2 linked regions of the Saccharomyces cerevisiae S288C genome follow. The protein of the gene in region 1 purifies or fractionates together with the protein of each later gene. This does not show direct contact. Each region holds a gene or a part of one and is shown in the gene's direction. Other genes may lie near its edges.

Region 1 (4,602 bases):
CCCATCCCAGTAATAAAATTCTTCGTCTCTTCTTTATACTGTGGCGGTGAGAACTTTAAAGAGGTCATCGAATGCGGCAAACGTCTGCAGAAGAGAGGTATATCGAACATGATGCTTTCATTAACTATTGAAAATTCCGAAGGTACAAAGAGTTTGTCCAGTACTCCAGTAGACCAAATTGTCAAGGAAACAATCAGCTCTGTCCACAACATCCTACTGCCCAATATTATTGGCCAGCTGGAATCTAAGCCAATCAATGACATTGCTCCAGGTTATATCGCTCTAAAACCCTCTGCTTTGGTCGATAACCCTCACGAGGTTCTGTACAATTTCAGTAATCCCGCCTACAAGGCTCAAAGGGATCAGCTGATCGAGAACTGCTCTAAGATTACAAAAGAGATTTTTGAACTAAATCAATCTTTGTTAAAGAAGTACCCTGAAAGAAAGGCCCCATTTATGGTTTCCACTATTGACGCTGAGAAGTATGATTTGCAGGAGAATGGTGTTTACGAATTACAGAGAATCTTATTTCAAAAATTCAATCCCACTTCATCTAAACTGATATCATGTGTCGGTACTTGGCAGTTGTACCTAAGGGACTCTGGTGACCATATTTTGCACGAATTGAAGCTGGCCCAAGAAAACGGCTATAAGCTTGGGCTGAAACTGGTTCGTGGTGCTTATATTCATTCTGAAAAAAACCGTAACCAAATTATCTTTGGCGATAAAACGGGCACTGACGAAAATTACGATCGTATCATCACTCAAGTTGTCAATGATTTAATCATCAATGGCGAGGATTCTTATTTTGGTCACTTGGTTGTCGCCTCTCATAATTACCAATCCCAAATGCTCGTTACTAATTTGCTAAAATCTACCCAAGACAACTCTTATGCCAAATCGAACATTGTGTTGGGGCAATTACTAGGTATGGCAGATAATGTTACCTATGACCTAATTACCAACCATGGCGCTAAAAACATAATCAAGTATGTCCCATGGGGCCCACCATTGGAAACTAAAGATTATCTTTTGAGAAGATTGCAAGAAAACGGGGATGCTGTGAGATCTGATAATGGCTGGCCATTAATCAAGGCCATAGCAAAGTCGATTCCAAAAAGAGTAGGCCTATGAGAGGACTATAATATATACTCCAATTTCAAAGACAAACCAAAAAACCAAAAAAAAAAAAAAGTATGCATACATAATTCTGATGTTCTAGTTATACATATTATATATAAGTAATGATAATAACACTAATAGTAAAGTAAACGCACGGATATCAAGAGTTAATATACTTGAACCACTTAAATAACAATCTGTTGGTAAAGCTTTCTTCCTATTGATTATGGGTTCGAATAGTACCAGATGTTTTGCCAATCCTAAATCGGTAGGAAAGTGGCTTGTCGTCGTCAGGCTTATTATCAACTCTTATGCACAAGAAAGGTACTCATCTTCTATAAACTACATAAGACCTGAATCTAATCAAAGGGAGAAAGCGCAGAACATCAGATTTAAAGCGGTTTTGCTTGATACACTCAGCCTTGTCTCTTTGTAAGGATTTTGGGGTACCTATGAATAATACATCTAGTAGTGTTAGTAAACCAACGTATGGGATTTTGGGATACATAGTTTTCCAGTGTTTCTTATCCGTGATAGTTTAATGGTCAGAATGGGCGCTTGTCGCGTGCCAGATCGGGGTTCAATTCCCCGTCGCGGAGAATTTTTTTAAGCTTCTATTAAAGAAGCTTTTTTTCACTTATATCTGATGGATGATGAATAGCTAGTTCAAACGGAAATCTTTGATAAAGCTATATCAAAATTCAAAGCCCAATAAGTCAGTATCATGAAGTTTATAGCATTAATATCAGGTGGGAAGGACTCGTTCTACAATATTTTTCACTGCCTGAAGAACAACCATGAATTGATTGCCCTGGGAAATATATACCCAAAAGAATCAGAAGAGCAAGAATTAGACTCTTTCATGTTCCAAACAGTAGGACATGACTTAATAGACTATTATTCTAAATGTATTGGTGTTCCACTATTTAGACGCTCAATATTACGGAACACTTCTAACAACGTCGAGTTGAATTATACTGCTACTCAGGATGATGAAATTGAAGAACTATTTGAACTTCTAAGAACTGTCAAAGATAAAATTCCAGATTTAGAAGCTGTTAGTGTAGGTGCCATCTTATCGTCTTACCAGAGGACCAGAGTGGAAAATGTTTGTTCCAGATTGGGTCTAGTAGTGCTAAGCTATTTATGGCAAAGGGATCAAGCCGAACTAATGGGTGAAATGTGCCTTATGTCCAAGGATGTTAACAATGTTGAAAACGATACTAATTCAGGAAATAAATTTGACGCCAGGATAATCAAGGTGGCAGCAATTGGATTGAACGAGAAACATTTAGGAATGTCCTTGCCTATGATGCAACCGGTGTTACAGAAACTTAACCAACTTTATCAAGTTCATATCTGTGGAGAGGGTGGGGAGTTTGAGACAATGGTCTTGGATGCCCCTTTTTTCCAACATGGATACTTGGAATTAATTGATATTGTCAAATGTAGCGATGGTGAAGTTCACAATGCAAGGTTAAAGGTAAAATTTCAACCGCGTAATTTGAGCAAAAGTTTTTTACTCAACCAATTAGATCAATTACCTGTACCTTCGATTTTTGGTAATAATTGGCAAGATTTAACCCAAAATTTGCCAAAGCAACAAGCTAAAACAGGAGAACAAAGATTTGAAAATCACATGTCGAATGCTCTACCACAAACGACAATCAATAAAACCAATGATAAGTTGTACATCTCTAACCTACAATCACGTAAAAGTGAGACGGTCGAGAAGCAAAGTGAAGATATTTTTACTGAGCTAGCCGACATTCTGCATTCCAACCAGATTCCACGGAATCATATTTTATCTGCGTCATTATTAATTAGAGATATGTCTAATTTCGGAAAAATCAACAAAATATACAATGAATTTTTAGATTTGTCAAAATACGGACCTTTGCCACCATCAAGAGCATGCGTAGGTTCGAAGTGCTTGCCAGAAGATTGTCACGTACAGTTATCAGTTGTTGTTGATGTAAAAAATACAGGCAAAGAAAAAATCAACAAGAATAAGGGCGGACTACATGTTCAAGGCCGTTCATATTGGGCTCCATGTAATATCGGACCATATTCCCAAAGTACTTGGTTAAACGATGATGCAAACCAAGTCAGTTTTATCAGTGGGCAAATCGGACTAGTACCGCAGTCAATGGAAATATTAGGAACACCTCTCACTGACCAAATAGTTTTGGCATTACAACATTTTGATACTTTGTGTGAAACAATAGGAGCTCAAGAAAAGTTACTCATGACATGCTATATTTCAGACGAATCGGTTCTCGACTCTGTCATCAAAACATGGGCGTTTTATTGTTCAAATATGAATCATAGATCAGATCTATGGATGGACAAATCTGATGATGTTGAAAAATGCCTAGTTCTTGTAAAGATTTCTGAATTACCTAGAGGCGCTGTTGCAGAATTTGGTGGTGTTACTTGTAAGAGATTAATAGTGGACGATAATGATTCCGACAAGAAAGAAAGGGAAGAGAATGATGATGTTTCAACCGTATTCCAGAAATTGAATTTGAATATTGAAGGTTTTCATAACACTACAGTTAGTGCGTTTGGATATAATAGAAACTTTATTACGGGATTTGTAGATAGTAGAGAGGAGTTAGAACTTATCTTGGAAAAAACCCCAAAATCAGCCCAGATTACCCTCTATTATAATCCCAAAGAAATCATCACTTTCCACCATCACATTGGATACTATCCGGTGGAGAAACTTTTTGATTACCGTGGTAAAGAACACCGCTTTGGGTTGCATATTCGTTCCTAACTCCAAATGTAGGCCTTATATTTTATAAACTTAATAGATATACGCTGTCCACGCTCCTGGCGGTGTAAATGATAGACAGATCCCAAATATGTTAGCAAATCATAGGAACAACACCATATTGTGAACACGTAAAATTTAGAATACGCCGCACAATTAAGGTGTGTTCTGTAATAATTTGATTATTGATGATGGTTTAGGAACCAATATTCATATAAAAAAATGATCATTCTATAAAATACCTTATCGTAACACTTGTACCATGCTACTAACACTGTATATATTTCTGACCCCTAAGAAAAAGCACCTGAATAAGCTAAAGACCAAGTTAAGCTTTGCCCATTGTCTAGGAAATTTCTGTTGAAATCAGGTTGGCTGAAAAAGTCGTACGAAAATTTTGGATCAAGCAGAGCCATATTTAACATGATTATTCCTTTCCAACCGTCATTCACTTGATCAATTATCGGCTGCATTTTTTCTTCCCACTCCTCTTTGACAAAATTTGGTGTTCTGACCCATGAAGATGCTGATGTTATAGGAATGGCGTGAATCATATGAATGTATTGAGGCTCCATGCCAAAATACGTGGCGTGATCAATTTTATTTTCGAATAAAATACCACTAACTTTATTACCAATAAATTCTTTCGGTTGGACAGTATTATTGCTTTCGTATAGGAAGTAGCTCTGGAAAACATTTCT
Region 2 (3,344 bases), on another chromosome or scaffold:
AAATGACCAACCAGATGGATTGGCTTGGTTTTGGGTCATCATGCACTGCTGTGGGTACGGCCCATTCTGTGGAGGTGGTACTGAAGCAGGTTGAGGAGAGGCATGATGGGGGTTCTCTGGAACAGCTGATGAAGCAGGTGTTGTTGTCTGTTGAGAGTTAGCCTTAGTGGAAGCCTTCTCACATTCTTCTGTTTTGGAAGCTGAAACGTCTAACGGATCTTGATTTGTGTGGACTTCCTTAGAAGTAACCGAAGCACAGGCGCTACCATGAGAAATATGTGAATGTTGAGATAATTGTTGGGATTCCATTGTTGATAAAGGCTATAATATTAGGTATACAGAATATACTAGAAGTTCTCCTCGAGGATATAGGAATCCTCAAAATGGAATCTATATTTCTACATACTAATATTACGATTATTCCTCATTCCGTTTTATATGTTTATATTCATTGATCCTATTACATTATCAATCCTTGCGTTTCAGCTTCCTCTAACTTCGATGACAGCTTCTCATAACTTATGTCATCATCTTAACACCGTATATGATAATATATTGATAATATAACTATTAGTTGATAGACGATAGTGGATTTTTATTCCAACAGCAACATGTTAAAACGAAAGCTGATGTTTGGAAGCCGTCTCGAGTAGGCTATACCGACATATTTTCCCAGGAATATAAAGGAATTGTTGTTGCGATAAAGTTTGTGATCTGTTCTGATGCTGAAGGAACCTTGTACCCGAGAGAGTATAACTCCCGTCTCCATGATGTAAAAAGACTTGGGAGAACAGGACTGTCATTCACAGATAAAAAGGAGGCGTATTTACTCGAATTTAAAAACCAGGACGTTGTAGATCATGTTCATAAGTTAATCTTGCCTTTTAACACATCTTGGCAATCTAACTAGATTCGTCCAATTGTATTTTTACTTCAATAATCTTACATAATAATAAAAATTTTTCTATTTGTCCAAAAAAAAAAAAAATAAATAAAATAAAAAAAGCTACCGTAATTCATGCGTACAGTAACTGGCTTCCTTACTATACCAAGTTTATTCTTTGATTGCGCTGCCAAAATAGCCTGTCAAAATTTGCGCGGATGTATTTTCGACGTCAACGGTGCCATTATTTTTCTGTCACTGACACCTGTACTCCTGAACGGGTATCGGCATTTAGAACGCTGCCTCCAAATGTCTGGTGAACGTTCGTGAATATTCAGAGTGTCGTTATTGCAATGGAATGGCTGCCTTTGTGACGGCGTCAGGATAAATTGTGAGTCACTGAAACATATTCGGCAAAGTAAAAAAACGGACGTAAAAGATTCTTTCTTTATTCTTTTCACGACAGTCTACAAGTAACTGAAATAGCATACATTTACCAAAAAAATCGAAAAAAATGTTTAATACTACACCAATTAATATCGACAAATGGTTGAAGGAGAACGAAGGCCTTTTGAAACCACCGGTGAATAATTATTGCTTACATAAAGGGGGATTCACTGTGATGATTGTCGGTGGGCCTAATGAAAGAACCGGTTATCACATCAATCCAACTCCCGAATGGTTCTATCAAAAAAAAGGATCTATGCTTTTAAAGGTTGTGGATGAGACAGACGCTGAACCAAAGTTCATTGATATCATCATCAATGAAGGCGATTCATATTTATTGCCAGGAAATGTTCCTCACAGTCCTGTTCGGTTTGCTGATACTGTGGGTATTGTTGTGGAACAAGATAGGCCTGGGGGAGAAAACGATAAGATAAGGTGGTACTGTTCTCATTGTCGCCAAGTGGTCCACGAGAGTGAACTGCAAATGTTAGACTTAGGTACCCAAGTGAAAGAAGCCATTTTAGATTTTGAAAATGATGTCGAAAAGAGGACATGTTTCCATTGCAAGACGTTAAACTACGCACGCCCTCAATCTAATTAAGTATTAGAAGAGTTGTTAGTTGTACTTTTATAGCTCTCTTGTTACGTAAGATTGCGGCACTAAGATGCGGTGCCAATTTTTTTTTTTTTTCTCTTGATCAAAGCAGCTAGCTGTTCATCAAGATATGTAACGTTTTTAAGCACTGAACTAACAAGGGGAGCCAGTGAACGACTATGTCTTCACAAGATGTTCTGATACATTCAGATGATCCGTGCCATCCAGCAAATCTCATTTGCACGCTATGCAAGCAGTTTTTTCATAATAATTGGTGCACCGGAACTGGAGGTGGGATTTCAATAAAAGATCCTAACACGAATTATTATTATCTCGCCCCATCTGGGGTGCAGAAGGAGAAGATGATACCTGAGGATTTGTTTGTCATGGACGCTCAGACATTAGAGTATTTGCGCTCTCCCAAGCTTTACAAGCCAAGCGCATGTACTCCATTGTTCTTAGCGTGCTACCAAAAGAAAAATGCAGGTGCTATAATACATACACACTCCCAAAATGCTGTGATATGCTCCTTGCTATTTGGCGATGAGTTCAGGATTGCTAACATCGAACAAATCAAAGCAATTCCAAGCGGAAAGGTGGACCCTGTGACCAAGAAACCCATGGCGCTATCGTTTTTTGATACGCTGAAGATTCCCATCATTGAAAACATGGCGCATGAGGACGAGTTGATCGATGACTTGCACAAGACTTTTAAAGATTATCCAGACACATGCGCCGTAATTGTGAGGAGACATGGCATTTTTGTTTGGGGTCCGACAATCGATAAGGCCAAAATTTTCAACGAAGCCATCGATTATTTGATGGAGCTGGCCATAAAGATGTACCAAATGGGGATTCCTCCCGACTGTGGCATTGGCGAAGAGAAGAAGCATCTGAAGATGGCCAGTCCGTGACGGGTTAATGCTTAAATTTATTGTATGATTTATATACTTCTATACATGGTATTATTATTATTATTATTATTATTATTATTATTATTATTATTATTATTACTATTATTGCAACTATATTATTTTGTCTTTGATTCGTACACTTTTTCCCATATTACATGCTCATTTTCGATTTTATTCTTGGTGTCCTTTAGCATTGGGACCTTCTTTTCGTCTATAGGAGCTAGACTGTCATCATTTTCTGCATCTATGAGGCCAACAAGAGCAATCTCGCTGCCTCGAAGTAACTGTGCCTTGCAGATGAATTCCTTGCTTATGCGGTTGAAAACATTGGTTATGAATAGATTAGTATTTTTGTCGAAGCCGTTTAGGCTTGCTATGAGGCATTCGCCGTCAACTTTGATTATAACAACTCTTTTATTTAAGTAGTCTTTCAAGGTGGCTGACATGGTGCACGATAGTGTGTTCTTCTTGTATGGTGTACTGTATGCAGCTTGCTGGTCCATCT

What was found.
Region 2: the proteins of DPH6 (region 1) and MDE1 purify together in Saccharomyces cerevisiae (affinity purification with mass spectrometry, with the first as the bait; one large-scale study listed by BioGRID). This does not show direct contact.

Annotation. Positions count from the first base shown.
Region 1 is NC_001144.5:425,483-430,084, forward strand, and holds DPH6 (diphthine--ammonia ligase), read left to right. Parts: upstream 1-1,846; coding exon 1,847-3,904; downstream 3,905-4,602. Other genes in the region: PUT1 (proline dehydrogenase), read left to right, coding at 1-1,134; ACF2 (endo-1,3(4)-beta-glucanase), read right to left, coding at 4,195-4,602. UniProt on the Saccharomyces cerevisiae protein: Amidase that catalyzes the last step of diphthamide biosynthesis using ammonium and ATP. Diphthamide biosynthesis consists in the conversion of an L-histidine residue in the translation elongation factor eEF-2 (EFT1 or EFT2) to diphthamide.
Region 2 is NC_001142.9:469,725-473,068, reverse strand, and holds MDE1 (methylthioribulose 1-phosphate dehydratase MDE1), read left to right. Parts: upstream 1-2,104; coding exon 2,105-2,839; downstream 2,840-3,344. Other genes in the region: YJR026W (gag protein), read right to left, coding at 1-309; BNA1 (3-hydroxyanthranilate 3,4-dioxygenase), read left to right, coding at 1,398-1,931; U4/U6-U5 snRNP complex subunit LSM8, read right to left, coding at 2,956-3,285. UniProt on the Saccharomyces cerevisiae protein: Catalyzes the dehydration of methylthioribulose-1-phosphate (MTRu-1-P) into 2,3-diketo-5-methylthiopentyl-1-phosphate (DK-MTP-1-P).